Lonchura striata: one gene and its partner. The protein of the gene in region 2 purifies or fractionates together with the protein of the main gene of each other region. This does not show direct contact. Links are inferred from orthologs where the notes say so. Each region holds a gene or a part of one and is shown on either strand. Other genes may lie near its edges. The genes, in order: SIRT6 and USP10.

Region 1 (15,523 bases), on a different chromosome or scaffold from region 2:
CCAGCTGCCATGAGGGGCCCGGGAGAGGGGGGACACACGGCCATGCCCAACCTGGAGCTGGGGCCAGGGCACCCTCCCACAGCTCCCAGCCCCCAGTCCAACTGGGATGCAGCCAGCACCAGTCCCTTCCATGACCAAGTGACATGGAATTACAGAGTCATGGAATGGTTTGGGTTGGAAGGGACCTTAAAGCCACCCAGTGCCACCCCTGCCATGGGCAGGGACACCTTGCTGTGTCCCAGGCTGCTCCAACCTGGCCTTGGACATTTCCAGGGATCCACGGGCAGCCACAGCTGCTCTGGGAATTCCATTCCAGGGCCTCACCACCCTCACAGGGAAGAATTCCTCTATGCAAGGCCCTCCCTAGGCCCGTGGGTGCTCCGCGAGCCACAATTCAAGTATGTTTAATACTGACATAAAAAAAGGGACAATATTTAAGGGTATAAAAAAAAGTCGGTAGGAAAAGCAGCCCAGGTGAGACAGGGACAGTCCAGGTCAGGTGAGGAGAGGCTCCACCTTCATCTTCTTCACCGGCGTTGGCCCCGTGTCCGGGCTGGGACGCTCCTGCTTGAGCCCGTCACGGCGCTCCAGCGGCGCGCTCCCGGCACACGGCGCTGCCGTGCCGTTGTGCTGGCCCTGGGGCTCCTCCTTCAGCCGCCCCTGCAGCTGCTCGCCCTTGGCCAGCTCGGCGCTCTCCACCACCACCGGCCCCGTCCACTCGGGCACCTCCAGCCCCAGGTGCTTCATCAGCTTGGTCATCACCTCGTCGACGTAGCCGTGGATGCGCAGGTCGGCCTGGCGGTCCTGGACAGCAGGGACACGGCTCAGGGGACAAACGGCCCCTCCCAGGGACACGGCGATGTCCCTCATGTGTCATTCCCAAAGGGACATCAGCTGGCCCTGGGGCTCTGCTGGGGCGTGGGCTGGAGCCACACCTGGGGATGGGGACACAGGGACAGAGTGTGACGGGCACAAGGGAGCTCTGCTGATATCCCAGGAACCCCCAGCTCTGGGCATTAAAGACTTTGGACAATTGGGGCACCAACATCTGAGCAGGAACCGAGCAGGAACCGAGCGTGCCCTCCACGGGTTCCATGTGTTTGGCCCTTCCATTGGGCTGTAAACCCTGGGAGGACACAGCAGGCTCCAGGCTGAGCTTTCACTCTGCTCCTAAGACTAGCTTGGACAGGGCTTGGAGCAGCCTGGCATAGTGGAAGGTGTCCCTGCCCATGGGAGAGGGAATAAGATGAGCTTTAAGGTTCCTTCCAACCCAGCCCTTTCCATGACTCTAATATTTACCTGCCATCTCTACGTGTTTAGCAGGAGTTGCAGGTTTAAACCCTCCAACCCAGGACTCTCAGCCTGTTTGACTGCTAAGAGAGGCCACCTGGGAGGGGACAACGTGCAGGGACAAACTTGAGATGGGCCTGGAACAGGGGACAGCAGGGGAAGGGAGCAGTGCAGAGCTGCGGGACGCTCACTCACGTGTTTGGTTGCTTGGAGGTTGACGATGACCAACTTCCCTCCTCTCTTCTTGGTGATCAGTGGGAGGTTCCCGCTGGGTTTGATCTGCAGAGAGGTCCCCAGCGTGATGGAGAGATCAGCTTTCCTGCAGGGAGGAGGAGAAATCCAGAATCAGGGCATGGATGGGTGGGAAGAGGCTGTTCCCCTCCTGAGCAGGTGTCAGTACCTGCAGGCTTCATCTGCCAGCGTCAGGTCACGGTCAGGCAGGGAATCTTCCCAATCCAGAATAGTGTCTCGTAACTTCCCTCTGGAAAACACACACAGGGACCATGGTTTTCCTTGGAAAAGGCAGGAGAACAGGCAGCAGAGCTGCCCTGGCAGAGGGGACAACGACCAGAGCCTGTCCCACCCTCCCTGTCCGCACACTGTGAAGGGGTGGAGAGCACCCAGAGAGATCTTCCTGCACCTTGGGCTGCTTCTCCCACATCTGAGGGGCTGTGGGGTCACCCCCCATCCCACATCCCCGGGGGGATCCCCACCTGCAGGCCCGCAGCCCCCGGGCCTTGGTGACGCTGCAGAGGCGGCCGGTGGGCTTGAGCCCCATGCTGCCCACGACGGCGTCGCGCACGTACTGCCTGCGGAGACACGGAGCGCTCAGCGAGGGGCTGAGTGCCCAGCACGGCCTGGCATGGCCACCCCAGCTTCCCCCTGGCATGGCAACCCCAGCCCAGCTTCCCCCTGGGATGGAGATCCCAGCCCAGCTTCCCCCTGGGATGGAGATCCCACCCCAGCTTCCCCCTGGGATGGAGACCCCAGCCCAGCTTCCCTCTCAGATGGAGATCCCAGCCCGGCTTCCCCCTGGGATGGAGATCCCAGCCCAGCTTCCCCTGGGATGGAGATCCCAGCCCGGCTTCCCTCTCGGATGGAGATCCCAGCCCAGCTTCCCCCTGGGATGGAGATCCCAGCCCAGCTTCCCTCTGGGATGGAGATCCCAGCCCAGCTTCCCCCTGGGATGGAGATCCCAGCCCAGTTTCCCCCTGGGATGGAGATCCCAGCCCAGCTTCCCCCTGGGATGGAGATCCCAGCCCGGCTTCCCTCTCGGATGGAGATCCCAGCCTGGCTTCCCCTGGGATGGAGATCCCAGCCCAGCTTCTCCCTGGGATGGAGATCCCAGCCCAGCTTCCCCTGGGATGGAGATCCCAGCCCAGCTTCCCCTCGGATGGAGACCCCAGCCCAGCTTCCCCCTGGGATGGAGATCCCAGCCCGGCTTCCCTCTCGGATGGAGATCCCAGCCCAGCTTCCCCTCGGATGGAGATCCCAGCCCAGCTTCCCCTGGGATGGAGACCCCAGCCCAGCTTCCCCTGGGATGGAGATCCCACCCAAGCCCCCCCAGGGCTCACGTACTTCCCGCATTTCACGCACTCTTCCACAAACATGTTCCCATGGAGCTCGGCCAACTTGTCCCTGTGGGAGAAAGGCACAGGTGAGCTGGGGAAGGGTGGGGAGTCCTGGGGGAACCCCACCTCCTCCCCAGGAACCTCGGGGGCTTCCCTGCATTCCAGCTCTGCCAGGTGATGGGCTCATCCCCAACAGGGACTCAGGAAGGGACAGCAGGTCCCAGCCTTTTAATTTCAGTGTTTCCATCTGGTTGCAGCTCCTGACCTACTCAAATCTTTGCTCCTGGGAGCACCCAGATCTTTGTTTCTCCAGCACCCAACATTCCTGTCTGTCCCTGTGCTCTTCCAGCCCTCTGACACCTGTTTTTCCTAAAATCCCCCTCAGGCTCAGAGCAGAAGCCAGAGGAAGACGCAGCCATGCTCTCCCTATTTTCCTCAGAGCCCCACGCTCACTGGGAACTTCCTCCAGGCTGCGTGAGACAGGACTGACTTGATTTCCCCCAGTTTGGCCCCAGTTCAGCTTCCTCAAGCACAGGTTTCACTTGGGAGGCAGAGCTGGGCTGAACTGAACAGGAGCCAGTGGCTCCAGGCTGTGGGAGCACCATGGAATTCTGTGATCATTCCCTACTGCTTTTCCCATGGTTGTTTGGATTAAACAGACAAACAAGGGGCTGGGAGCAGGGCCCAGGACTTGGGGCTTGTAATGACAGGAAATGCCCTGGAGGCAGCTCTGGCTGAAGGTGTTTGTGAGAGGCACCTTCTCCAAGGACACATGGATGCTCCTCACTCACATCCTGACTCATAAAATCACAGAATGAGTTGGGTTGGAAAGGACTTTAAAAGATCAACCCCCCTGCCACGGGCAGGGACACCTCCCACTGTCCCAGGCTGCTCCAAACCCCATCCAGCCTGGCCCTGACTGCTCCCAGGGATCACAGAATATCCTGAGCTGGAAGGGATCCACAAGGATCACTGAGTTCAACCCCTGGCCCTGCACAGACACCTGCACAGGGGAATGAGATGGGCTTTAAGGTGCCCCCCAACCCAAACCATTCTGGGATTCCATAATTCCATAATCTCTGTTTTTTCTATGCACAAACAGCACCTGGAAACATTTCTAGACAGCAACATCCAAGGCTGATTTGATTCCAAGACCCTCTGGAACAGCACCAGAACCTCTCCCCTCTAAATTCCAGCTGGTTTATCCCTTTCCAGCTTCCACTCCCTGTATCAGAGAGGGCAGAGATTCCTTGGGAATGAAACCCCCCGTGTGGGGCTGGGAAGGTACCGTGGGAATCCTGACCGCACGTGCAGGCCGTCCACGTTCTGGCTGACCAGGAATTTCAGGATTCCCACTCTCTGCAGCCCCAGCAGCGCCATGTGAGTCTTGGAGGGCCTGGCATTCTCGAAGGTGGTGTCGAATTTTGGGGAGAGCCCTTTTTCTTCCATAGTCCAGACACCATTGGGACCCCTGGAAAGAGCAGGAAGGGAGAGCTCAGGCTCCAGGTGCCCCATCCATGGGAGCAGAGCTCATGGATCAGCAGGATTCTGGGGGTTGATGCAAACAATGTGGGGATTCTGTGGCAACAGCTGAGATGTGCAAGAGGGAAAATGGTGTTTGCAGCTGGATCCAGGACGGACAGCAGGAATGGGGCGGGTCTGGGATAAATCAGAGCTTTCCATGAAGGAAGATGGACCTGGAGGAGGTGCCACCCTGCCAGCCCTCGGACTTACCTGAAGTCAGGGATGCCCGAGGCCGTGCTGATCCCTGCTCCTGTGTGGAACACCACATGGGAGGAGCTCCGGATCAGCTCTGCCAGCTCCTGCACCTTCCGCTCCAGCTCCTCCGGAGGGTCAAAAATCTGGGAAAACACAAAAACCAGCATGGGATGGAGAGATGTGGGCATGGATTATATGGGGAAGGAATCCTTCCCTGTGAGGGTGGGGAAGCGCTGGAATGGATTTCCCAGAGCAGCTGTGGGTGCTCCTGGATCCCTGGGATGTCCAAGGCCAGCCTGGACAGGGCTTGGAGCAACCTGGAATAGTGGAAGGTGTCCCTGCCATGGCAGGGGTGGCACTGGATGATCCTTCAGGTCTCTTCAACCCAAACCATTCTGGGATTCCATGATTCTAGAAGCCCAGTAACCCACAATTCTTCCTTATCCATGAATGATTTTGCATTCCTTAAGGACAGAAACATTTAATAGGAGAGACTCCACGCTGCCTGGAGCATCTCGCTGCAGGGACAGGGCTGGGAACTCCCAGCACCAACAGGGAGTTTGCTGCTCTGGCTGGCAGCTGGCCCAGGCTGGGCTCCAGGAGCCACCCGGGGCCACCCCACATGTGCCCCACTGTCACCAGCAGTGCCACCAGCTCTGGGGACAGGGCAGGGCCGAGGGACAGCGAGGGACACCAGATGCTGGTTTGGGCACGGGATTTAATTCCTGAGACACTTCTCCAGCCCCATCTCTGGGGACGGGGACGAGGACAGGACCCTGTGTGTCCCTGTCCCCTCACCATCCCCTGGGCTCAGGACGGGCTGCAGTGTCCCTGTGGCTCCCCTCAAACCTCGTTTTAGGCTTCCCAAACTGCTGGGGCTCAGGGGGGACACGGAGGGAGCCAAGGGGGCTGTGGGGGCAGAAGGAAGGACCAGGGTGGGGTCAGGGAGGCCATGGAAGGGGACATGGAGAGGGGACATGGAAGGGGACATGGAGAGGGGAAATGGAGAAGGGACATGGAGAGGGGACATGGAGAGGGGAAATGGAAGGGGACATGGAAGGGGACAAGGAGAGGGGATATGGAAGGGGACACGGAGAGGAGACATGGAGAGGGGATATGGAGAAGACACATGGAAGGGGACATGGAAGGGGACATGGAGAGGGGACATGGAGAAGGGACATGGAAGGGGACATGGAGAAGGGACATGGAAGGGGACACAGAGAGGGGCCGAGGGAGCCGGGGGCGGCCTGGGGGGACATGAGGGGGACCAGGGAGCCATGGGGTGTCGGGGACAGGCACCCAGGGAAGGGGGACGGGGAGGGAGCCGCGGGATGCGCTCGGGACACACGGCGGGCTCGGTGCCCGCTGGGTTCCCGAGGCCGCGGTTGCCATGGGGACGCGGCGGGCCCGCGGGAGGCCCGGCGGGCGGGCGGGGGCTGCCCCGGGCGGGCGGGGACGGCCCCGGCGGTGCCGCGCTCACCTCGGGGAGGCCGCACTTGCCCTTGTCCGAGTACGGGGACAGCCCGGCCGCGTAGCTCACCGCCATCGGCGCGGCCGCCGCGCGGCGGAAGAGCCGGGAGGGGCCGGGCCGCGGGACCGCCCCGCGCCGCCGCCGCCATCTTGGAGCCGGGCAGGGCGGGGCCGCGGGACCGCCCTGCGCCGCCGCCGCCATCTTGGAGCCGGGCAGGGCGGGGCCGCCCCGCGCCGCCGCCGCCATCTTGGAGCCGGGCAGGGCGGGGCTGCCCTCAGCGCGGCCGGGGCCGACCGGGACTGCCCGGGACCGACCGGGACTGACCCGGGACTGACCGGGACTGACCCGGGACCGACCGGGAGTGACCGGGAGTGACCCGGGACTGACCGGGACTGACCCGGGACTGCCCTCAGCGCGGCCGGGACCGCCCGGGACCGACCGGCAGTGACCGGGAGTGACCCGGGACTGACCGGGACTGACCCGGGACCGACCGGGAGTGACCGGGAGTGACCCGGGACTGACCGGGACTGACCCGGGACCGACCGGGAGTGACCGGGACTGACCCGGGACCGCCCGGGACCGACCCGGGACCGACCGGGAGTGACCGGGAGTGACCCGGGACTGACCGGGACTGACCCGGGACCGACCGGGAGTGACCGGGACTGACCCGGGACTGACCGGGACTGACCCGGGACCGACCGGGAGTGACCGGGACTGACCCGGGACCGCCCGGGACCGACCCGGGACTGCCCTCAGCGCGGCCGGGACCGACCGGGACTGACCGGGAGTGACCCGGGACCGCCCGGGAGTGACCGGGACTGACCCGGAGTAACATGGGACTGAACCGGGACCGCCCGGGACTTGACCGGGAGTGACCGGGACTGCGGGACACTGCCCCGACATTGACCCGGGACTGACCCGGGACTGCCCGGAACTGAACCAGGAGTGACCGGGACTAAACCGGGACTGACCCGGGACCACCCGGGACTGAGCGGGAGTGACCGGGACTGAACCGGGACTGACCGGAGTGACCGGGACTGAACCGGGACTGACCCAACACTGCCCCGGGACTGCCCGGGACTGCCCTGGCACTGCCCCGACATTGCCGGACACTGCCCCACCTGCACTGAACCCCTGCCCGGGGGGACACAGGATGGGCAGGGGTGCCAGGGATGGACAAGAGGTGCCACCAAGAGCAGGGGATGCCAAGGAAGGAAGGAAGGAGGGACAGGGGGTGCTGGCAAGGGCAGGAGTGCCAGGGCAGAGCAGTGGCTACCAGGGAAGGACAGGGCGTGCTGACAAAGGCCGGGATGGCAGGGAAGGACAGGGGTGCCAGGGAGGAGCAGGGGTGCCAGGGAAGGACAGGGGTGCCAGGGAGGGACAGGGGTGCCAGGGAGGAGCAGGGGTGCCAGGGAGGAGCAGGGGTGCCAGGGAAGGACAGGGGTGCCAGGGAGGGACAGGGGTGCCAGGGAGGAGCAGGGGTGCCAGGGAAGGACAGGGGTGCCAGGGAAGGACAGGGGTGCCAGGGAGGAGCAGGGGTGCCAGGGAAGGACAGGGGTGCCAGGGAAGGACAGGGGTGCCAGGGAGGGACAGGGGTGCCAGGGAAGGACAGGGGTGCCAGGGAGGAGCAGGGGTGCCAGGGAAGGACAGGGGTGCCAGGGAGGAGCAGGGGTGCCAGGGAGGAGCAGGGGTGCCAGGGAAGGACAGGGGTGCCAGGGAAGGACAGGGGTGCCAGGGAGGAGCAGGGGTGCCAGGGAGGAGCAGGGGTGCCAGGGAAGGACAGGGGTGCCAGGGAAGGACAGGGGTGCCAGGGAGGGACAGGGGTGCCAGGGAGGAGCAGGGGTGCCAGGGAAGGACAGGGGTGCCAGGGAAGGACAGGGGTGCCAGGGAGGGACAGGGGTGCCAGGGAAGGACAGGGGTGCCAGGGAGGAGCAGGGGTGCCAGGGAAGGACAGGGGTGCCAGGGAGGAGCAGGGGTGCCAGGGAGGAGCAGGGGTGCCAGGGAAGGACAGGGGTGCCAGGGAGGAGCAGGGGATGCTGACAAGAACACGAGGTGCTGTCAGAACCAGGGGCTGCCAGGGTGGGGAAGGGGATGTCAGGTCAGGACAAGAGGTGCCACCAAGGGCGGGGGGTGTTTGGGATGGGCAAGGGGTGCCAACCATCAGAGCCCAGCCCTCCCCAGCACCCCAGGCCGTGTCCCTTGTCCCCAAACACGGCCCGGCCCGGCCCCCCCCCGCCTGCCCGGGGCTGTAACCGCAGCCGCGGCCGTAATACAATCCCCGGCTCCGGTTCCCGGCTGCGGGCGCTGCGCTGGGAACGCCAGGACGGGCTGGGAGCAGCGGGACCGGGGGCGCTGAGCTGTCCCCAGGCAGGGACAGACCCTCCTGGAGCGTGGCCATCCCTCCCGAGCAGCTGCCACGGGGCTGAGGCTGAGCCACCATGAAGAGCCTGAAGGCCAAGTTCAAGAAGGCAGATGTGAGTGCCATCCCTGGGGACATGGGGACACGGTGACCTGCTGCAGGGTGTCTGTGGGGACACGGGGATCTGCTCCAGGGTGTCTGTGGGGACACGGTGACCTGCTCCAGGGTGTTTGTGGGGACACGGGGACCTGCCCTGGGACACGGAGTGGTCGCTCACAACGGGGACAGCAGTCCTACAGAAGTTGGCACTGCCACTCTGGCTGGTGGGATCAAGCCCCCAGTGCACCCCCTGTGCTCCCAGAGCCATCGCTGGGAGTGGGGCAGAGCAAAGGAGAGGGAAGCAGATCCCAGGTCCCCTCCCTGTCCCCCTCCTGGGGACAAGTGCCACTTTGCCAGCTGCCACAGCCCGTGGAACCAGCCTGTCGATGCTCCTCAATTATTCAGCAGCAGCCTGGCATGGGGCCGCAGAGGGCAGAGGGGGACAGCGCTGTCCCCAGTGCACTGGGAGGGACACAGCAGGGGACATGGGGACACAGCTTGAAGCCCCTCACCCGGAGTCTGTGGGACCATCCTGCTCGGGGCGCTCCATGCCTCAGTTTCCCCACACTGCCCTGGACACGTCCCTGAAAGGCTCCCGATGTCCTGCTGCCAGCGGGACTGCCCGGACAGCGTCTGGGGACCCTCTGCGTTTCGGGGTTCCTCCCTGGAGGTGTTTGGGGGGTCCCAGGTCCCCCCATCGGGGGCCGGGAGGATGCTCAGGATGCTCAGCCCTGCCTGGGAGCCGCTCCGAGGCGGGATGCAGGGATGCAGGGATGCAGGGATGCGCTGAGGAGGGAGGGAAGGAGGGAGGGCCGGGGGCGGAGGAGGCGGGTCCGGCTCCCACTGCCGCAGCCCCGGCCCCCGCCCGGGCGGCGATGCCGGAGCGCTCCGGGCTCGGGGGTGCCCGTGCCGGCCGGGGCGGGGAGCGGGGGGCGCATGGCGTCCTCCCGCCGCCTCCTGCTCAGCACCATGAAGCAGATCTGCCTTTGTGCCGCCGCCTCCTTCGCGGTACGTCCCGCTCCCCTCCCGGCTCCCCTCTGCTCGCGTCCCGCGGGCTGAGCCGTGTCCCCCCCGCCCCACCTGCACCCCACATCCCCATCCCCATCCCGGGGCTCCCCGTGTCCTCCCCATCCTGCTTTGTCCTTGCCTGGCCAGGGAGTGGGGGGAGCGGGCACCACCCTCCCAGTTTGCCAGGAGCCCTGGGAGACTGGTTTGCTCCCTGTGCCTGGTCCCACCGGGCTGGAGGGGCTCGGGGGCACCCGGCGGGCACAGGCGGGTTTGGGACAGGTGCCAGCGGCTCCCGAAAGGTGACATCCATTTCCTGCCACCGCGAGCGCAGCCAGCGCCGCTTTGTCGTCACGGGCTGTGGGGTGAACCCGGGACTTGCAGTCCCTGTCCTGGTCCTGTCCCACTGCGGGTCCTCCTTCGGGACAGGGAGCACCGGGAGAGCAAATCCCAGCCAGCTGCGGTCCTGTTTTGGGGGGCACAGCGCTGTGCCCCGTTATCCCGGGAGGCTGGGGCATCCCTGGGGATCTGCTCTCGCTGCCAGCTGTGCTCGCCCTGGTTTGATCCCTTCCTCCTCCGGGAGCAAAGCAGGGCTGGGAATGGGACTCCCATGGGTTCTGACTGGGTTTAGTACTGGGATTTCAGGGTGGCAGGGGCAAACCCCTGTACAGTTGGGCTCAGTCCCAAATCCCAGCCTGGCACAGCTAAACTGGGCTGTGTCTGTAAATCCCCCACTCTGTGAGCTGCAAACTGGGGGACTGGAGGGGATTTTCATCCCAATCCCTGCTGAACTCTCCGTACCTGGGAGTGAGCTCGGAGGAGAGGGGGACAGACACGGCCACCCCCAGGGACAGGGCTGGAAGGGGCACAACAGGGCTGGGGACAAGGAGAGCCAGCCCAGCCCAGCCCTGGGGACAGCACTGTCACAGCTGACACTGTCACAGCCTCCTCTGGGCCCTGTTGCAGAGCCAGGACTGGACCAAGAACGACGAGAAGCTGCTGCAGGCCGTGGACTACAACGATGCCGGGCGGGTCACGTCGCTCCTGCTCCGCAAGGGCCTGGTGCCCACCAAGCTGGACGCGGAGGGCAAATCCGCGTGCGTGCCAGGCCCTGCCCTGGGGACACGGCTGGGGACAGGGGACATCCTCTGAGTCCCTCAGCCCCTGGTCTCGCTGTAGGTTCCACCTGGCCGCCACGCGGGGCAATGTGGACTGCCTGGAAGCAATGCTGGCCCACGGCGTGGATGCCATGACCAAGGACAGCTCGGGTGAGGGCATGGCCACCATGTGCCCCTGCCTAATGCCATGGGCCACACAGGGCCACTGGTCATCCCCAGGTGTTGAGGATGAGGGGACAGAGGTGGTGGCCACACCTGGGGGGCTGTAAATTGTCCCAGTTTCCTAAAGGAGCTCTATTATTGCTTCATGAGCTCCTGGGGTCGTTCCCTTCCTGTTCAGCCCCATTCCAGCAGATCCTGCTTTGTGCCTGTCTCTCTCTGTCCCTAAGCTGTCCCCTCTGGCACAGCCCTGCTGGCCATGCTCTGACCTGTTTGTCCCTTCCCAGGTTACACTGCCCTGCACTTGGCCTCCAAGCACGGCCACCCTCAGTGTGTCAGCAAACTGCTGCAGGTACAGGGAGAGGGAGGAGGGACAGAGGGAGGGAGGGAGGTGCTGTGCCAGCACGGTGTCCTCCCTGTCCTTGAACCCCCTTCCCTCACCAGTGCCAAGGCATGGTGGTTCCCAGCTCTGTGCTGCTGCCTGGCACCAGGGAGCCACAGGGGTCTGTCCCTTGTCCTTCAGCACAGCGTGGAGCCAGAGGGGGTTGGTCTGTCTGTCCCTCTCCTTCACCACACCACAGAGTCTCTCAGTCCTTCATTGTGCCACAGAGCCACTCGAGCAGTCTGTCCCTCTGTCCCCCTCCTCCCGTGACCCAGGCTCTCCCCGCAGGCCTCCTGCCCCGTGGACGTGGCCGATGGCAGTGGCCGGACCGCGCTGCACCTGGCGGGTGAGTAGGGACAGTGCCAGCCCTGTCCTGCTCACGTCCCCGTAGGGGCAGCGCTCAGCCTCTGTCCTTGTCTGCAGCTGCCAGCGGCTGCATCTCCTGCTCCGAGATCCTCTGTGACTTCAAGGCTCCCTTGAACAGCAAGGACAAGGTGGGGTCACACTACTCCTGGTCCTGCTGTGCCAGGCTGGGGCTGTCCCAAAACACAGCACCGCTTGGGGTGGGATGTGGAAATTGGGGTGGGACGTGAAAATTGAGGTGGGACGTGAAAATTGGTGTGATATCGGGAGGATCTGAGTCTCCTCTGCTCATCCTTCCCCCTGCCATGCCCAGGACGGCTCCACGCCGCTGATCCTGGCTGCCAAGATGAGCCACTCGGAGCTGTGCCGGTACCTGCTGCACCGCGGGGCCGCCGTCAACTGCCGGGACCTGCAGGGCAGGTGGGGCAGCAGGGCCGGGGCCCGGCGGCGGCCGCAGGGATGGTTCCCTCCTCACCCACGCTCTCCCCGTGCCCAGGACAGCGCTGATGCTGGCCTGCGAGAGCGGCAGCGTGGACACCGTGGAGGTGCTGGTCAGCGCCGGTGCCCGCGTGGCCGTGGTGGACGCCACCGGCCACGACGCCGCTCACTACGGGCTGGCCACAGGCAACGTCCTCATCCAGCACCTCCTGCAAGAGGCGGCCCAGCGCCGCTCCTGGGCCAGCGGTGAGGCTGCCGGGCCGCCCCGGGCTCCCTGCCACCGTCGGACAGGGCTGGCAGAGGCTGCGGGGATGTGTCCCCTTTTCCTGGGTGTTTGGGGCTGCCTTTGCCTGTGCTGTCCCCAGCCTCTGCTCTGAGCTCTGAGCCTCTAAATCTCCCCAATTTCTCTTCGCTCTGCTCCACAGAAGAGGACTCAGCTGAGCAGACGTCGCAGGTGAGGGGCTGGTGCCCATCCCTGGAGGGTCCCCTGGCTCAGGAAGGAGGGAGGGCACTGTGGGTGTGACGTCCCCTCTGCCCTGGGGTGTCCGCAGACATCTTCGCCCAGCCAGTCATCTGTCAGGGAGAAGAGCAGCACCCCGAGGAAGAGGAAGGCCCCTCTGCCTCCCCTGGGCACCCCCAGCCAGGTGAGAAACAGGTCCCCAGGTCCCCACCTGGCCTGAGTAGCCCAAAACACTCCTCGATGAAGGATCCCCTCATTGGGGGTTGGTGCCAAAAAGCCCCCTCGGGCACACAGTGGGATTTTTGGGGTTTCCTGTGCCAGGAGTTGGACTCGATGCTTTCCGTGATTCCCTGCAGGAGGACCGGGACGCCTACGAGGAGATCGTGCGGCTGCGGCAGGAGAGAGCCCAGTTCCTGCAGAAGATCCGGGGCTTGGAGCAGCAGGAGAAGCAGAGACGGGAGGTACCAGCTGCAGGGTCCTGGGGAGCAGAGGGGACAGGGGAGATGGGGACAGCACTCACCCCTCCCTCTTTTCTCCTTGGGTCCCGCCAGCGGGCAGAGCTGGATGAGGCATCCCTGCGTTCCATGGAGAAGCAGGTGAGGCCTCAGCTCTCCGCGGGGTCCTGGTGCTGGGAATGCCACCAGGACTCTGCCAGGAGCCAAGGGGACCCTATTCCCATACCCTGCCCTGCAGATCCGGGAGCTGGAGGAGCGGCTGGTGGCACGGGATGGGGAGAAGGAGAAGCTGGGCAAGGAAGTGGAGGCTCTGCGGAGCCGCCTGTCCTCGATGGAGGTGGGTGTGGGCAGGACACAGCTGGCAGTGCCCAGGGCTGGGCACAGGGGCATCACCTCCACCCTGCACCCCCAGAATGAGAAGGAGAACACGAGCTATGACATTGAGACGCTGCAGGACGAGGAGGGAGAGCCGCTTGAGTTCCCAGGTAGGTCTTGCCAGCCTCCCAATAACACCTCGGGGAGGTGACACTGGGCAGTGGGGGCACAGGTGGGCACCGCCCCATGTCCCTGTGCCCTGCAGGAGCGGAGATGCTGCTCTCCAAGAAGACACTGAGCCCCTCGGCCGAGGAGCTGCTGGCCACTCTCCAGGGGCAGGTGCAGTCCCTGACCGTGCAGAACAAGGAGCTGAGAGAGAAAATCCAGGCATGTCCCCCTCTGTCCATCCGTCTGTCCCTCCATTCCCTGTCCCCTGGCCCACGGTGGCCTCACGGTCTCTCGGCAGGTGCTGGAGAACTACGAGCGGGACGAGAGCAGCCCCCCTGCCCCGGGGGACGTGGTGCCCGCCAGCCTGTACCAGGCCCTGCAGCGGGAGCTGGAGCGGCTGCGGGCGCAGGGCAGGGAGGCCACGGCTCGGGCCGGAGGGGACGGGCAGCGCGCGGCCTCGGAGCCCATCCCAGAGGGAACCGCGGGGCCGCGTCCCGCCGAGGAGCCGGCCTGGGCCTGGGGCGAGTGCAAGGCAGCACTGGGCGAGCTGGGGGTGCAGACATCCTCCTCCTCCTCACCCTCGGGCGAGCGGGAGCCGGGCGCAGAGCTGGCGGAGGCACGGGCGGCCCTGAAGCGGGCGCAGACCGAGCTGGAGGAGCGGGAACGGCGACTGAAGGAGCTGCAGGCCCAGCTGCAGGCTGCGGAGGCTGCGGCCTCACCAGGAGCCTCTGCGGAGGAGGCGTCGAGGGACAAGGAAGCACTGCTGGAGCGCTGCGGGCGCGCCGAGGCCGAGGCCGAGGCGCTGCGGCGGGAGCTGGAGGCCAGGCCGAGAGCTGCGGACGCGGCGCGGCAGCGGGCGGAGGCCGAGGCGCAGCTGGCAGAGCTGGCAGAGCTGCGGGCCGCGCTGGCGCGCAGGGAGGCCGAGCTGGGCGCGCTGCGGGAGCGGCTGCGGCAGCACGAGAAGGAGGCCCCGGCGTGGCTGCAGCGGGCGCAGGCCGAGGGCTGGGTGCCCCGGGACGAGCACGCCCGCGCCACGGCGGCACTGCAGGAGCAGGCGCGGGGCCTGCGGGAGCGCCTGGCGCAGCTGGAGGCCGCGGCCGACGCCAAGGCCCGCGAGGCCGCCCGGCTGCAGGCAGAGCTGGCGGCGGCCGTGCCGCGGGCGCAGCACGAGGCGGCCGAGGCCGGGCTGCGGGCGGAGGCGGCGGCGCTGGCGCAGCGGCTGCAGGAGCTGGAGCGGCGGCACGAGAAGACGTGCGAGGAGGTGTTCCGCGTGCAGCGGCAGGCGCTGTTCATGAAGAGCGAGCGGCAGGCGGCCGAGGACAGGCTGGGCGCCACGCAGAAGCAGCTGGAGCAGGCCCAGGACGAGGCGCGGCGGCTGCGGGAGCTCCACGGCCACGCCGAGGATGCGGCACGGCTGGTCAGGGACAGGGACAGGAAGGTAGGGGACAGGGAGTCAGGAGGGGATGGTGGCCTCAGAGCCGTACACGTGCTGTCACTGAATTTGGGTTGGGAGGGACCTTAAATGTCTTCCCATTCCACCCCCTGCCATGGGCAAGGACACTGGCCGCCACCCCAGGGTGCTCCAAGCCCTGTCCAGCCCAGCCTCGGACATTGCTGGGGATGGGGCAGCCGCAGCTGCTCGGGGTAACCCGTAACCCCTGCGCCCTGTGCAGATCACGGAGCTCTCCAAGGAGGTTTTCAGGCTGAAGGAAGCTCTGAATGCTCTGCCCGAGTCGGGGGGGCCCCCACAATCACCGCCCAACACGGCCGCGCTCCAGGCGCGGATCCGGGCGCTGGAGGAGAAGCTGGAGGTGGGTCACCTGGAGGGTTCGGGGCTCCCCCGAGCCCCCAGCCCTGTGGCCAAACCCCCTCCCTGTGCTGCAGGAGACAGAGACGAGGCACAGCAAGGTGGTGACGCTGTACCGGAGCCACCTGCTCTATGCCGTGCAGGTCAGCTGGGGACAGCTGGGGACACCGCGGTGGGGGCTGAGCCAGGTGCCAGCCCAGGGACACGCACAGAGCCTCCCTGATGTCCCCACTCCGGTGTGCCCACCAATGTCCCCTCCACCCCAGGGCCACATGGACGAGGACGTGCAGAGGCTCCTGTGCCAAATCCTGAGGATGCAGCGGCTGCAGGAGCAGGGCAGATGA
Region 2 (15,857 bases):
GCCAGAGGCAGGAGCAGCTCTGTCTGCAGTGTCCCTGCTCTCACCCACAGCTCCACCAGCTCGTCTGCAACTCCAGCACCCCGTGTCTCCTCTCCCTCACCCATCCGTGGCTTTGGAGACCCCACTGAAGTACCACCAAATTGTCATCTGGCCCACAATGCAGACAAGGTTGAGCAACAATGATGAGACCACACCCTCAACCCTCACACTCTTCTGCACACTCTGAACCTGTGAGACTTTCCACTTCCGAACAACACCAACTTTGGTGGTTTTTGGAAGAACATGCTCCCCATGGGTCTGTTCACTTCCTCCTTTGGTCCCAAATCTAATTAAGAGATCTTGCAAATCATAATGACATTCAGTAAAGCAATGAATTGCACAACTGTTCAAAATGGTTGTTTTGCAAGTAAGGCAGAAAACACAAACTGAACTAGAAAATACAAACTGATTTAAATTTCACATTAGAGATGTCTGTCATTAACAAATATTACTGGCTACTCAGTAAACACACTGGATGTGCTAGACACTCAGACCCGCCAATAAGCAGTTGTTCACTAATTACAAGTGGTTTTTTTCAAGCTGTCACAAAATAAATAAATTTAGAGCACACACGCTTTGGTATGGTTTGAATACCAAATGGCTAAAAACCACCTTAACTCTTAGCTCATCTCTTTCCTAACCATAAAAATCCAGGAGGAATTCAGACCAATTATGAAGTCACACTACCATGAAAACACAGGCTCCACAGCTCAGCCCCACTGGAGCACTGCTGCTGGGCAGGAGGGACCCCTCCGAGCCCCTGGCACCCACCACTGCCAGCAGCACAAAGCAAAGGGGAAAAATGTGCACAGCTGCCCTACCACACCACTCTGCAGGGCTCAACGCCAATGATAACTTGGAGAAATCTCTATTTCAATGATGTGATTGGATCAAATCAGAAAATCGTATCAGCCTTAATGTGACAATCATTAGTGTCAAGTGTAATACACATCCACTGCCTTTATCCTCTCCAGTTGAGGAAACAGCTCTGGCAACACCTGGAACACCACGGCAGCATCTGCCACCTGGACTCACAGCAACAAGAGTGACCACCACAGCCCGGTGACCACCACAGCCCAGAACTATGTCTGGACTACGGTGAAGTTCAAGAGACTGAGACCATGAACCTGTTGACAGGAACAAATTCAACAGTTTTATTTCTTCTGCTCTGAAAGCTGACTGATCCTCTTTCACGCTTCTGACTCTGCTGCACTTACATTTTCTGTTGCTTGCAATGCCAGGATGACAATTTTATGTATCTCGTTTTTGTCTGCTCTGAAAGCACACTAACTGCATAAACTCTTTTTTTGTTGTTGTTGTTTCAAGTTCTATTAGGGAGTTCTCACCATGTGTGATGAAATGTGGAAGCCTAAACTTCTTAACAGCAATGGTCTATGGTCACAGCCCTTAACTGAGAAGAAAGTGAGTACTGCCTAAATAAGTGGAAATTGCCTCAATAAGTTGTCTTTGACTTTTTTCCAACTTTCTATCAATTAACGACAGTGCTCCACAGGCATTTTCAAACTGTTGTGGTTTTGGATTTGTATCCCAAAGGCAGCAGCAGAACAGAAAGTGAGGTTTTCCATGCTGTAAGGACATCAGAGTGCTATTTCTTTCTTTCTTTGGTCAGCTAGCTATTATTAGAACCCATAAGATTTAATGGCTAGACTAAGTAGACTGGAACTCAAGAGAACTCGATTCTTTTTGCAATTCAGCTGTTACCTGTGCTGACAATGACTCTTTTCCTTTCTGCTTGACTTCCCTCTCCTTTTTACCCTATCTACTCACATTTAAAATGACAAGGCCATTCCACACTATATACCAGCCTCCTTTTGAACTGAATATCCTCCCTAAGTAACATAGTCCAAAGCCATTATTTGAATACAACTAATCTAATTGCCTGCCTCTACCATTAAACAAATTAACTGAACTTTTGTCACTTCCCTCTCCATCCAGCCTAAAGCTTACACCAAGAATTCAAGGGATTATCAGTATCTTACCTATCTGAACAGGTTGTTCTATTACCTGCAAAGACATCCCACTCCATCAAGACAAAACATTTTTGGACCAGAAGCTTTCACTTATTTGTATGGATGATACACGACTTCTGTATTTTTGAGTTACAGTGGCAAATGCATTGTCAGTGTGCAACATTCAGGGGGAAAAATGAGGCAGGAAATATGTGAATCACTTGAGCAGGCTCTAAACGTTGTATGAAAAAATATGCCCAGTGCACTGAGGGAATAGCTCAACTATTTCTGCTGGTCTGCCCAGTGGATTTCAAACAAAATAAGAAGTCTTTCATACACAAAATTCTTTGAAGAAAACCTACTTTCTTGCATGTTTTTTTAAATGCATTTTTCACACAACCTTTAGAGACAAGCTCTTCTTTACAGCTTCTTACAGATTGTGCAGTTTTCTCTTCCACCTCAAAGCAGAGCCTCACTTGGGGTATTTACTTTTTTAACAAAGCAAAAAAATTTCAGATCCCTTAAGTGGTTTTCCAGTTTGTGTTAACATTACCATCGATGGCAGCCCATCTATATCCCTTTCTTTCCTACTATAATTCCAATGCAAATAATACACGGTGCTTCTTTTAAAGCTTCTATCCATGATGTGAATTCACATTTAATACTACAAGCAGCAAATTCCCCAAAGTGCTCCTGGTACATTTCTTTCCTACGGCACTGACATTGGTGGCTACCACAGAATCTCAACAAGCCTTTCTTGATTTGAAGAACAGATGTTTTTTTCCACAAGGTGTACGATTCAAAGAAGCCTTACACAAACATTTTGTTAAGGCTACTGTGATTTAATCTTCCTCCTGCACACTACTGGTGAAGAAAAACAGACCTTGTAGCACACACTGAAGATCAATAGATCATATGCTGCCAAACAAGGAGGAAAAGTTCTTACACATATTTAAAATATCAGGAATATCTGGAAATAAATTAGGTATTACAGAGTCAAATACAAAATGAAAAGACTTCAAAGTTTTACTCTATTAAAGCATTAATGAATATATTAACATGAGCACTAACAAAACAGAATCCTTTTAAGTGTTTTAAAAATAACCAACACAGTCCCATTATTGGAAATACTTAAAACACAGTCTTAAATACCTATGGCACAATTTCATAAAACAAAAATAGGTTTCAGAACCTCAATTTTAAAATATCAGACTATTCTATTATGGAATGTCTGAATATACAAACACACACACATGTACACACACACACACTTTTTTCACCATGAAGCATTACCCTTTGTTCCCTAATCCCCAGTTGTATGTTTAATGATCACACATAAAACACTTCCATCAAAAAGAAAAACCGCAGTTCCAGCATGTTTAATTCTTTGGAAATGAACATCTACATTGCTGAAATGGCATTAGAGTGACAAATGACTATAATCCAGTGGCCCAAGGCCAGCAACTTCTATTCTAACAGATCTGGCAGTTTTGTACAACACAGCACGTTGTGTGTCGATCACTAAGAAATGAGACTGCTCAGTTTACCTACAAACAAAACCCCACTTAACTTTACAAGTATTTTAACAGCTACATGAATGGAAAGACCAGTATGTCTGAGCAACTGCCTACAGAAACTGGATTTATTAATAGGTAAATGGCTGGATCCATTCTAAGAAGTCTCCAGATCAGTGCTATAGTCTAGAATACACAGAATAAATAGCAGTGATTCACAAAACCTGTGGGTTTTAGCCTATTTGCATGCTGCCATATAGTTCCAAATTTAAGTTCTATGTCAGTTTTCCCAGACTTCCTTTTTTTAAGTCAACCAACCCACATTCACCCACTTTACTCTGTGTGGATTCACCATTCACATTTTAGAAAGGCAAATGATCCCTTCTGGCTACCGAAACTCCCGGTTTCAGCTGCAGCCCCAATTCCCAAGATCACAGAAGCCTGGAATAACTGCTCACTCCATGGGTAAAAGATGAGCCCAGACCCTTCTGAGCAATGAAAAAAAGCCAAATTCAGCTTATTCAGACCTTTAAAAGACAACAGCAACTGAGCAGCTGCAGCAAGATGGGGCACTCACACACCTCCCTCCAATTCCACTCCCAGCAGCTCTTTCCCACGGCCACCTTTTATTTTGTGTTCAGGGTGTCCCCCACATCTTCAGTGGATTTCACAAACCTGACACAATCCAATTGCCCCATCCCCAAACATTTCTTTCTGCCCGTGAGGACACTCCAACGTTACACATCTGTACACAAGAAACTCATCCAGCTGCATAACAAACATTTTTTGGACATTATTTTCACGACATCGATTTCCTAATCACCACAAACATCAGGCAAGACACTGCAAAGACAGCACAGCACAAATGCCTGCAGGCTGCTGCTTTTTTTTATTTTTCTTTTTTTTTTTTTGTCTTCTAGAAAGAGTCCTGGCTTAAGAAAACATCAAACTGCACCCTGCCAGGGAGCAGCCCTCCAAGCCGGCCATAAAAGAAGCAGTTTGCAGTGCAGTGTTTCAGGGAGTCAGGTTGCATGCCATGTTCTGAGTTCCAGTTCTTCTGGTTGCCAGGCCAGACACAACCTGGGTGAGGATGAGCAGCTTAGGAGCTGTTTCAGCTTTTTTTTTCTCAGCTCAAACTCGCCTGGTTTTCACTTCAGCCGGGTTTGGGGCCAACGTGGTACATTTAAAATGGCACCGAGTTCATTTGACACCACAGTAATGGTGGGAGAGCAAAACAAGCATAAATGATTCATTCTGCTATGGTATCCTTTCTTCTGCTTAACTTGTTTTCACAGGATTTACAAATGATGCGCCTGTATTAATTCTTTCTATGAAAAACAATAGAAAAAGTGGCTGAAACAACTGTTTATACAGTTCCTACAGAGTTTTATTCTTTACAGAGAAATAGTTTTTAAGTTGTCCTTTTTTATTTTTTCAAGAGATTTTTAGATGCCCTTGATGACAAGTGGTTTTAACTAGATCAGCTTAGCATCTTTAGTGTCATGGAGCAATACACAGCAGGTTTACTTGTAGCTCACCTTAAAAAAGGACAGACTGTGAGTACAGTCAGCACACACCCAGCAGACCGACAGCAACACTTAAACCTCATGAGATGATTATGAAATAGTGACATGGAATAGAGGCACAAAGACCAGCAATATCTGAACTGTGCTATCAAACGCTTCTGCGCCTGCTGAGCTGGCCACCCAAAATCAATGGAAATATTCAATATGATGGGGTTTCAGGAGTCATTTGTCACAATGTGCAAACTGACTGATGAAATATTTCTGCCCACTATTCCATGAATCCATCCATTGGCAGAAATCTGACTCTGCATTTTAGCTGGAGGAGCAGCGGGATTTTCTTGAAGATGTTTTTTCCCCTGTGTGACAAAAAATGCCTCAATGATGGTACACCCAAATTAGAGATATGGAAGAAGAAAACACTTCTGTCTACTTCTGCATCATGACATGAACATAATGACTCAATAATCTTATTTATCTTGTACTCAGAACAGGCAAGTTTTATCAAAACTTTCTTACTTTTTCTACTCATCTGCAATACTACCATCCTAAAACAAAAAGGAAACATCTACATGTGAAACTGCATCCCTGAACTTATTATCTTCAGGCTTTTCATCCCAAAGGCTGCAAAACATTGTTACCTTAATTCAGCATCACAGCACTGTTCTGGAAGATGTACTCAAATAAATCCCAGACATCATCTCAATAAACTGGTTAAAATGGATAAAAAAACCCAAAACCAGTAATATGAACAAAGTATTAGCTAAACAGTATCTTACAAATGTGCTTCCACAATATATATGTTCCACATTTTATACTATCTAATACAAATAATGTAAGTTCAGCAGCAACCACACGAGGCCTAATATTCACCTTTACCTACAGAGGGGGATGATTTAAAATAGTCTATGCTCAAGTTGCTACTAAAGATGAATTTACAGCCCAGTTTAAATTTCAGCTATGGAGCATTTCACCATAAACTAAATCATCAGCCTAAGTTTTCTTGTTTTCAAGTACACCAGCAAAATTATGTACAGACCAAGACACGTCCTTAACTCCGCTGAATCATGAAAATAGCTGCATTTTAAACCCCAAAGTTATCAAACTGACCACATGTATGGCTGAGGGGGGAGAAAGCAGGCAGTGAAACAACTCTTGAGTCGGACACTGAATCCTCCTGAGGTATCTGCATTCAAAAATCATTCATTGGGACAATAAAAAAGGTCCAAAAGTAAGTGAGTTTCCCTTACTTTGAAATAAAACTAGAAGGACGCAAATTTTTAAAATTAGTCTTAATTTTGAAACAAACTCCAGACACTGCAGCTGCCTTAAGAACACCCACATTAACAAAGGCACTCACGTTTTGCCCTCAAACATAAATAAATCAAGCTGGACAAGAAATGTCGGTATAGTTTTCACCAATTACAAACTTTTTAAAATGGAAATGCCAGTGCCACCAGTTCACGTCTTTATTTGATGTGTAACTTAACTTCATGGAGGAAAAAACCCTGAAACCTACAGAACTTACAATAAAGCATCACCCTGTTCGAAATTACTTACATTTTATGAAACGTGCTTCCTATGACAGAAGACACGGATCCTTAACAAAATTATGTTTAACACCACCACAGTTTTCTAAACTTTATTATTTGCTAAACAAAAAAGTTGCTCAAAGTCCTTGCAAATAAAACACTCCAGAGCTCCACACGCTTTTCCTGACATTCCTGCTTCCAATCTCTTTGGGAGAAAAACCTTAAGGGAAACAGAGAAGCGAACCCATTCAATAATTCGCTCTAAGCACACACTGGATTAGCCCAGGAACCCAGCTGTAAAGTTCCAGCGAAAAACCACCACTACTGCAGTTTTTTTTCCACTCGGTGCACAAATCTCCGGGCTGGTTCAGCCAGTGGGATCCATGGAATCCGCACACGCATCCCCGTGCACGGCGATCTTGCAACACTCAGCCCTTTGCACCCCGATGCGCCGGGGTTTATCGAGTGTTTGGGCGGGGGGGAGGGGGGAGGATTAGTTTACAAATCTCCTTATTCCCTTCTCGTTATAGAAACGTTTCTGCCTCTCCCCCCACTCCAAAAAATTAAAAAGCGCAGCCGGAGCGATGCGCTCTGTCCGAGCCGCCCTCGGGCGGGGGCTCAGCACCGACACCCCCGCCCCGGGCCCCGGCGTGGCGACACCGACACCGGAGCGGGGCCGGCCCCCCGCACTCCGGACCCCTCCGGGATGGGAATTCCGCCCCGGGAGCGCCGGATCCGCCACCCCCGCGGGCAGCGAGGCCGCCCCACCGCCCTCGGCACATTCAATGAACGTGCACAATCACCCTGGGCCTACTCCCGGCCACCACGCTCCCCCCCCCTCCTCCTCCAACATCCCGGGGCCCGCCCGCCGCCGGGAGCCCGGCGGGGTCCGGGCGCGGTGGCGCAGGGCTGCCCGCGGGCCCGGGCGGTACCTGAGCGCCGTGCAGGGCCATGGCGCCCCGCGTCCCCGGGGAGCTCGGCGGTCCCGGCCCCTCACGCCGCCGCCCCCGCCGCCGCCATCTTCTCCCTCGCACGCACCAGCCGGGCCGGGCGGGCGGGCGCGCGCCGCACCGCGCATGCGCCGTCCCCGCCCGCCCGCTGCGCGCGCACGGGGCGGGAGCTGAGGGCGCCCAGGGAAAAGGGCGGGAGGCGGCTCCGCCCCCCTGAGGGGAGCGGGGCGGGAAGGCGGGCGGGGAGCCCCGAGAGCGTCCCCGCAACGCCGCGCCCGGCATCGCCCCTGTGGGAGGGTGAGGGAGCGGGGAGGGTTTAGCCTGGGGAAGAGGAGGCTGAGAGGGGGATCTCGTTAGTGCGTGTGAAGAAATATCGGCAGGGCGGGTGCCAAAAGGATCGCAGAATCATGGGATGGGTTGGGTTGGGAGGGAGCTTAAAGACGATCCAGTTCCGCCCCCTGCCATGGGCAGAGACGCTTTTTGCTATCGCAGGTCGCTCCAAGCGCTGTCCGGCCTGGCTTGGGCACTGCCAGGGATGCAGGGCGGCCACGGCTGCTCTGGGCGCCTGTGCCAGGCTGGTGCTCAACAACAGGACAAGCAGCAGTGGCCATAAAATAAACCATAAAGAAGTTTCAGCTCAACATGAGAGGGAATTTCTGTTCACGTAAGGTGGCAGAGCTCTGGAATAGCTGCCCAAGGAGGGCCTGGAGTCTCTTTGAGGGAAACATTCCGAGCACACCTGGCCAAGTTCCGGTGTCACCTGCTCCGGGTGTCCTTACCTTGGCAAGGTCCAGGGCTGGGTGATCTCCAGAGCTCCTTTCCAACCCAAAGAATTAATTACATGACTCCTTGATTAAGTTGGGAAAGCCTTCCAAGACCACCTAGTCCACCCTGTGACCAATCCCTTGTCAGCCAGCCCAGAGCACCGAGTGCCACATCCAGGCATTCCTTGGACACCTCCAGGGATGGTGATTCCACCACCAGCCTGGACAGTCCATTCCAATGTTTAATCACCCTTTCTGTGAATAAATTCCTCCTAACGTCCAGATTTCACCTGTCCAGATTTCAGGCTTTTACAGATGCTGAGGGTCAATCTGGCAAGTTCCAAGCAAAGCTGTGTGCCCAGATGATGCCAGAGCGAAGCTGTCCCATCTCTGTCCCAAATAACCAGGATGGGAATGGGTTCAGAGTTTGTATCTAGGAGAGGAAAAAAAAAAAAAAATTAGCAATGACTAAGCCAATCTCATGATTTTGAGCGGATTGAGTCATAACAATACTGAAACCCCCAGGCAAGAATCCATCAAATTAATCGCTAATTTAGTCCATATTTTTTTCCCTTACACAAACTACCAAGTCCTGCAAAAGTCTAATTCGGCTGGGCAGCGAGTGATAGAGACAACTTTAAATCGGTGAGAAAGTTAAATAGAAGAAAAGGAAGAGCACACAAGAACTCTGTGTCTTTGGCTGTTCACGGAAAGTGGGAAGAAGATTCCTCCCCGTCTCCACGACAAGGACACGTCCCTCCTGTTTTGTGAAGAGCAACACTTGCCGTGTGCTAATGACAATAAATGATTTTCTCTATCAGCCTTTACCCTCCCAGCTGACACACCCAGCTGCCGCTCCCTCGCTTTTGTCTCTCGCAAGTGTTGCTGTGCTGTCCTGAGGCAGAGAAGCAGCAGTAAAAATGGCTGGTTAATATTAAAAGGGAGAAACAAAAAAGGGAGACAAATGTTCAGGCTTTTTGCATACAGCAGTTCAAACGTCTGAAAGCCCCTCTCCCCTCGGGAGTCTAATTTACAAGGTAAATAATGGAATGAAAACCCTTACGTGGCTCATCTGGTTGAAGGCAAAATTCCCTTCTGCCCACAATGCTGCCTAAGTAAACTGACTGTTTCAAAATACAAATGAACACAGTGTCTTCAGCCTGGAAAGCAGAGAGTTCAAATACCAAAACTGCTAAAGCCCAGAGCTGAGGGTGAAAACTGAGAAAGGATATCACTGTCTCATTCAGCAACATTTTAAACATGTTCAATTTTATCCCATCTTAGTATAGTTTAGTTATATATCTGTTAACATTTAACCGCAATATTTCCTAATAATCTAAGGGTTTGGTTTTTTTGTTTGTTTGTTTGTTTTTGTAATACAGTGCTTTGATGAAACTTACCTGCTGCAAAGTTTCACCTCGGTTCTATTTTATTAATTTTTGCTGGTTTTAGTAACCTGTTATTTCATTACTGCTTTCATTGCATAAACCAGTTGTATTTTCTTACATCCTTTATGCCAGTGGCTGTGAATTATCCCTCCAAATCAACAAGCTGCTTTTCCAAATTAAAAAAAATAACCAGTGTCATATTTTTTCTTTCTGCATATACACATTCTTAAGATTCGTGGAGCAATGTTCTTACCAACGTGTGGATTTATCAAAACCAAATGAGGTCCGTGGCTGTGGAAATAAAGGATAAACCACTCCCAGGGTATCTGGCTCCAGGTCCTGCTGTAATTGCTCTTATCCTGCTGGGAATGCAAAGCGCTGGGGACTCCTTGGGACTTCACAAGGTCATGAGATCCGTGCTCGTGACAGTGCCAGATGTGTACACATGTATTCTGAGCACTTCTCAGGATGACTTTTGGGGAGCTGGAGCCCTCAGGACCCTCGCACCCGCTTTTTCAGGGACAGAGGGAATACTTCAGGAGGTTTAGTACTGCCCTTGTAGAACTTCCTCCTGGTGCCAAGAACTTCAGGAGCTCCCAGGACTTTTTTTTTTTCAGAGATGCAGAACTTTTATCCCAGCAATTTCTAAGTCCAATAAGGGCTTTGCCTACATAAAGCATTTGCAAGCCCTGGCTGGATCTCAGGGAGTGTCAGTTGGCTCATCTTTAAAATAGGATATTTACATTTTCAGTAGAGAACCAGCCAGCTCTAGGTCAGCACGGGAGATTGTAGAATTATCAACCTTGGTAATATTTTTTTAACTTTCTGAGCCCTAAATGCCCCAGGCCAGCAGCAGGCACTGGGAGTGGGCAAAGGGAACCTGAGAGCAGAAAGGCAGGAATGGTTCTGCAGGTGGAAGACTTTAGACAGGTAGCACAGGACACAAACTGCAGCTATTTAGTTCCAAAAAAATGGGTTAATGCAAACCTGACTTCAAATTCCACATTCCTAAATTTGTTGAACAATTGTAAAAGATTTGCTGATGTAAAAAAGCTTAAGCATGGACTAGTTCAAGCAGAAACACATTTGAAGAATGGACAAGCCTTCAGTAGATCATGTGGCTGCTTGACTCAGTGTTTCAATTATCTATGCAGAACTTCTGGCTAATTAATTGTGACTTATTCATCCTTATCTTAAATATAAGTCTTCCCTCTTCTCATTCAATCATCTCTGTCAGTTCTGTAGCATCAAAAGAACCAGCAAGTCTCCATCTCACCTTCCCCTTGTGTTTTGTCACCAAACCCATCACCATAGAACAAAGGTATATTTTTTCCCAAAGCCATTCCAAGTTCCAGGAGGAACTAAGAAATGTGTGTAGCACCAACAACCCCATGACTGGGCTGTGTCCTCCCTGTGTGCAGTTACCAGGATGGAGGAGGAAGCTGTGAGTGGCTGAGCTGTGCTCTGACTCTCACAGCGTGGTGACAAAATCTCTCCATCTGCCCTGACCTGATCCCTGAGACACCCCAGAGCCATAAGTTCATGAAGGAATAATTAGCATCTCGCTCATTATTACATTCATGAGAACTGAAATAGCTCAAGAAGCTGAAACAAAATAATATTTAAAACCTGTCACGCCAGCTTTTATTTTGTCTTACTGGTCAGAGCTTCTGTAAGACATACCAGCAAGGGAAGAATCACAATTCAAATCTGGGCTTGTTTTCTGCAAGTTAAATTGCTCTCAGAAAGAGTACTGAAGGTGAAATTATTTCTTTACATTCCCTAGACACACAACCCCTTTTTTTGCTGTCATGCAAGAATCTGGAATCCTGAACAGCGCCCAGAAAATCAGCAGTCCTTGAAGAAACCACAGAAAGCACTCAGATCTTTTACACAGAAAGACACCAGAACATTTTTCTCAATTTAAAATTTCGACTTGAGAACAAAAATATTTCCATCTTCTTTCTCAGCCCTTCAAAACAACTGCATCTCACAGTAGGCTGTGATTTTTCCTCAGGGTACCTCGAGGGATTTGTTCCCTAATGTCAGAGTTACAGGAGCAGCTCCTTGATGTGCCAATGCCACGATACGGGCATGGAAGTGTGGGAAGAGCAAACCTGAGGGTTTTGGTAGCTGCTTTGTTTCAGGTAAAACGAGCTTTCCTCAGAATTTGGCAATGGAAACATTTTTAAAAATGAGGTAAAGCACCAGTTATTTTTCCCTGGGGCAAGAAGAAAGAGCTGTGCTTCCTGGCAAGAGTAAAATGCTTCACAGGGCTTAGGGATGAAGGCAGTGGGATGTGCAGGTTCAAGAGCCAGGCTGAAGTAAGAGAATACACCTTTGGCAATTCCTCCCCAAGAGGACTGTTCAGACCTCAAAAATCAGCAAAAAATCCACTAGCATCACACAAATCCTCCCTTTCATTTTTCAGAAATCCCAGCACACCAATTCCCCAAAGTTATGCAGCCCTGGGAAGCGTGGGTGATCTCCAAGCTCCCTGTGCTGTCTGCTGACACTTCCCAAGGGGTGATCAGCCACATTTGGATCCAGAACAGCCTAAATATAGGGGTCATCAGCCACATCTGGATCCACAACATCCCAAATCCAGGGGCACTCTGCCATACTGTGCCTTTAGAAGTGCTCCCTGCCATGGGCTTGGAGATGCAAATGGGGATCACTTGTTCCTTCAATAATGGAAAAATAATTCTGGCAACAACAGGTACATCTCCCAATGACCTCTAATGACACAGGACATGTCCCACGCTCGCTCAGAGCCTCTGGCTTTGGTATTTTCCCCAACACACACACCAGGGGAAACAAGGCTTGCTTTGATGAGCACTGAAGCTGCCTTTTGTTCATGCAATGAAGTTCAACGTTAAGAAATTGTAGATTGTTTATCTACACTCCATTAAATACTGTCATTGAAAGCACCCTACAAACTGGACTGGATCTTTTGTCAGACCTGCAAAAACGTGAAAAGGAATTTCATAGAATCACAGAATGGTTTGGCTTGAAGGGACCTCAAAACTCATCTTGTTTCACCCCCTGCCATGGGCAGGGACACCTTCCACTATCCCAGGCTGCTCCAAACCCCAATGTCCAGCCTGGCCTTGGGCACTTCCAGGGATCCAGGGGCAGCCCCAGCTGCTCTGGGCACCTGTGCCAGGGCCTGCCCACCCTCCCAGGGGAGAATTTCTTCCCAATATCCCATCTAACCCTGCCCTCTGGCAGTGGGGAGCAATTCCCCCTTGTCTCTTCTGATTCTGTGGAGGAGAAAAAGGTAGAAAACATGAATTATCTAAATAAGTTCTATTTCTATTTAATATTGTTAAAATTACCTTCCTACTAAAGTGTTTCCACCATTATGAATTTCACTGAAAAATTATTACAGGGTTAGTTTTTTTTTCAATTAATCAAAAAGGAAAACCTCAGTGAAATCAATACACAAGACATCAAACTGTGATGAATAGAATATTCTAAACTGGATTTATTGTTCCCAGACATTAATGTAATACATAAACACGCTAAAAGAGGGGATATAGTTAACAAGCAACCCAGTAACAGAAAAAAAGCAAGTCTTTGAAATTTTTGTTCCATACGAACACATGAAAATGTACCCAAAAAGTTAAGTAATTGTCAGTCAACATAGCAAGGATTTCAGATGCCAAAAAAAATAAACCCAAAAACTTGTCTATGAGTTTGTCATAACCAAAATGTTTCATTTGGGTTTTTTTTGGTTTTGTTTTAAATTTATTTTTAGGCTAAAAAAGAATAACCATTACCTCATGCAGTATACAAAGGCTTTAAAATAAATCCATTAATGCAAATGAAAGGCTGACTCCTGAGGCTTTTTTTTTAAATTAAAAAAAATCGCCAAAAAAAACCCTCAAAGAGTTTCAGAAAATTAATTCCAGCTAGTTTTCTTAGCACTGAAGAAACAACCTATAACCTCCTTGCACTCCAGAAATTTATTGTTACGTCTTTTGATCCACATATGCTTGTAGTAGGTCTTAGAGTTTCAAATGAAATTAAGTGCAAAAATGTTTTCTTAGTGTTTTCCAATTACTGAGGTAAGTTGTTTGAAGGGGGGAAAATAAGACAAAAGAATAAGGGTAGCAGGATATCACCTGCACGTACACCAGATGGAAGAAGAGGCAAATCTGAAATACATGGAAAGGGAGATGGGAGAGGAAGACTGAGGGAAAAATAACAGCGATGATCAACAGCTGAACCTTAAACCCAAGCCCTTGAAATCCACCCAGCAGATCAGCAGCCACTGAAATAAAGGGTGTTTATGGGCATGGCTGGCGAGCTGGGCTCTGGGGGAGCTGGAGTTGTGACAATAGTCCCAATTCCAGCTGACGGCCTGACAATGCTGGGAATGCCTGTGCTGCTCCCACAGCTGCACCACAGCCTGGCCAAGCCACACAGGCACCAAAGATCATCCAACGAGGAGTTCCTGACGCCAACAGCGGGGTCACGAGCACAGAGCAGCAGCTTCTATAGTCAACAACGTGATATATGGCAAACGAGAGAGTGAGTTAGCAAAATGTGGTATAAAAAAGTATAAAAGTTGCTTTTAAAAACTTCCTTAAAACGTCGATATAATACGATGTATGTGGAAATGCCATGAACCACAGAAGGAGAAGCCTAAACCTTAACATTCAGGAGAGCAGCAGAACCTCTCTGGCCACATCACCCTTTGTATAGCAAGAGGGGGAGTTTTTGGTTTCTTTTGTTGTTTTTACCTTAAACATGAGTTTAATCCAAAAACCACATTCAAGTGTACATTTTCTTAGGCTTCAAAAGATGCCCTCCCCACCCTGTTTAAAAAGAAAAAGAATAAAGGTTAGATAGAAATGTCTAAACACAAGGTCCCTTCGGAACCCACCATCCAAGGGTGGCTATCCAGGAGTGGTCATCTTCCTCGATCTGGATGTTTTTTTGTTTTTATCTTTTTCTTTTTGTCCTCTGTTTTGGGTTTCAGGGCGCAGACACACGCGGACACTCCGGCAATCGCTTTGGGCAAGTCCGTCCCTTTGTACCACTTATTTTTCTCCTTATCGTAGACCTGGACCGTTTTGGAGAAGACAGCCTCCTCCCAGCTGTAGCCTCCGAGGATGTAAATCTTGCCTTCCCAAACTGCCACCCCCGACTCGCTGTTGGCTTGCAGCAGAGGGGCCACTCTGGTCCACTGGTTGCACTGGGGGCTGTAGGACTCCACGCTGAGGATGTCAAACCGAGCCATGGTCTCGATGTTGTCGTCGCTGCCGCCGATGGAGTAGATGTTGTCCTGCAGGGTGCACATGCTGTGCCAGCCCCTGGCAGTGATCATGGGCCTCTTCTCCTCCCACACGTCCGTGCGGTAATCGTAGCACAGCAGGTTCTTTCTGTAGGGGCCGATCTGGTAGTCATGGCCTCCCGAAATGTACACGAATTCCTTGTAGACAGTGCCAGCGTGGCCGTAGGTAAACCTGGGGCAGGCAAACACGAGCAGTCCTCAGGGGTTTGAACAAGGCACACAAGCATGCAGCAAGGACTGTGCTAAAGAAGCAAATAAACAGTAACTAAAGCCAGGAGAATCCATGACCTGGCGGTTACCCAGTAACTCCTCTCACTCCCAGGGCCTCACCCTGCACTGCAGAGTGCACAGCCTGACAACCACTTTTAAATCACCCTTTCCATAGCTGGTTGCTACAGAGCACTAAGGTATGACAATCACTTTTTAATGCATCCTCTGGAGTGTGTCACACAACAGAAATAGCCCATCCTGCTCTACTGTCATGACCTTCACTCCCGTACTTCTGCTCCAGTGCTTGGCTTGCATCAGTCTGAGAGGGCCAGAGAGGGAAAAAATCCACATCTCAGTAAGGGCTGCTGTGACAGAAAGAGGAAATAATCATGACACCTCTCAGACTTACCAGTAGGGATAAACCAAGAGAAACCAAGAAGAAAACTGCTGCTGCCTTGCCCTTGCACAGCTTCAGGATCAGTGGATACATGGGTAACCATGGATGCTCTCTACCCAGTTCACCTGCAGTCCTAACTCAGGCAGTGTCCTTTCCATGAGCCATCTGTCTGCTCTACCACTGCTGCCCTACATCTGGGAACTCCTTTGGTCACCCCAGGACAAGGCAGGAGACCCCAGCCCATCACAGATCATGGTGACGTAAGAGA

The links.
Region 1: the proteins of USP10 (region 2) and SIRT6 purify together in Homo sapiens (affinity purification with western blotting; 4 studies listed by BioGRID, with this or other methods). This does not show direct contact. The link is inferred for Lonchura striata from reciprocal best matches to the Homo sapiens genes USP10 and SIRT6.

Annotation. Positions count from the first base shown.
Region 1 is NC_134630.1:6,743,197-6,758,719, reverse strand, and holds SIRT6 (NAD-dependent protein deacylase sirtuin-6), read right to left. Parts: upstream 6,158-15,523; 5' UTR 6,127-6,157; coding exon 6,061-6,126; intron 4,724-6,060; coding exon 4,596-4,723; intron 4,333-4,595; coding exon 4,150-4,332; intron 2,929-4,149; coding exon 2,869-2,928; intron 2,100-2,868; coding exon 2,004-2,099; intron 1,772-2,003; coding exon 1,691-1,771; intron 1,610-1,690; coding exon 1,486-1,609; intron 805-1,485; coding exon 496-804; 3' UTR 389-495; downstream 1-388. Other genes in the region: ANKRD24 (ankyrin repeat domain-containing protein 24), read left to right, coding at 9,446-9,517, 10,481-10,611, 10,694-10,782, 11,079-11,143, 11,462-11,519, 11,597-11,667, 11,850-11,956, 12,033-12,220 and 11 more. UniProt on the Homo sapiens protein: NAD-dependent protein deacetylase, deacylase and mono-ADP-ribosyltransferase that plays an essential role in DNA damage repair, telomere maintenance, metabolic homeostasis, inflammation, tumorigenesis and aging.
Region 2 is NC_134615.1:20,636,336-20,652,192, reverse strand, and holds the start of USP10 (ubiquitin carboxyl-terminal hydrolase 10), read right to left. Parts: upstream 7,630-15,857; 5' UTR 7,532-7,629; coding exon 7,511-7,531; intron 1-7,510. Other genes in the region: KLHL36 (kelch-like protein 36), read right to left, coding at 14,599-15,154. UniProt on the Homo sapiens protein: Hydrolase that can remove conjugated ubiquitin from target proteins such as p53/TP53, RPS2/us5, RPS3/us3, RPS10/eS10, BECN1, SNX3 and CFTR.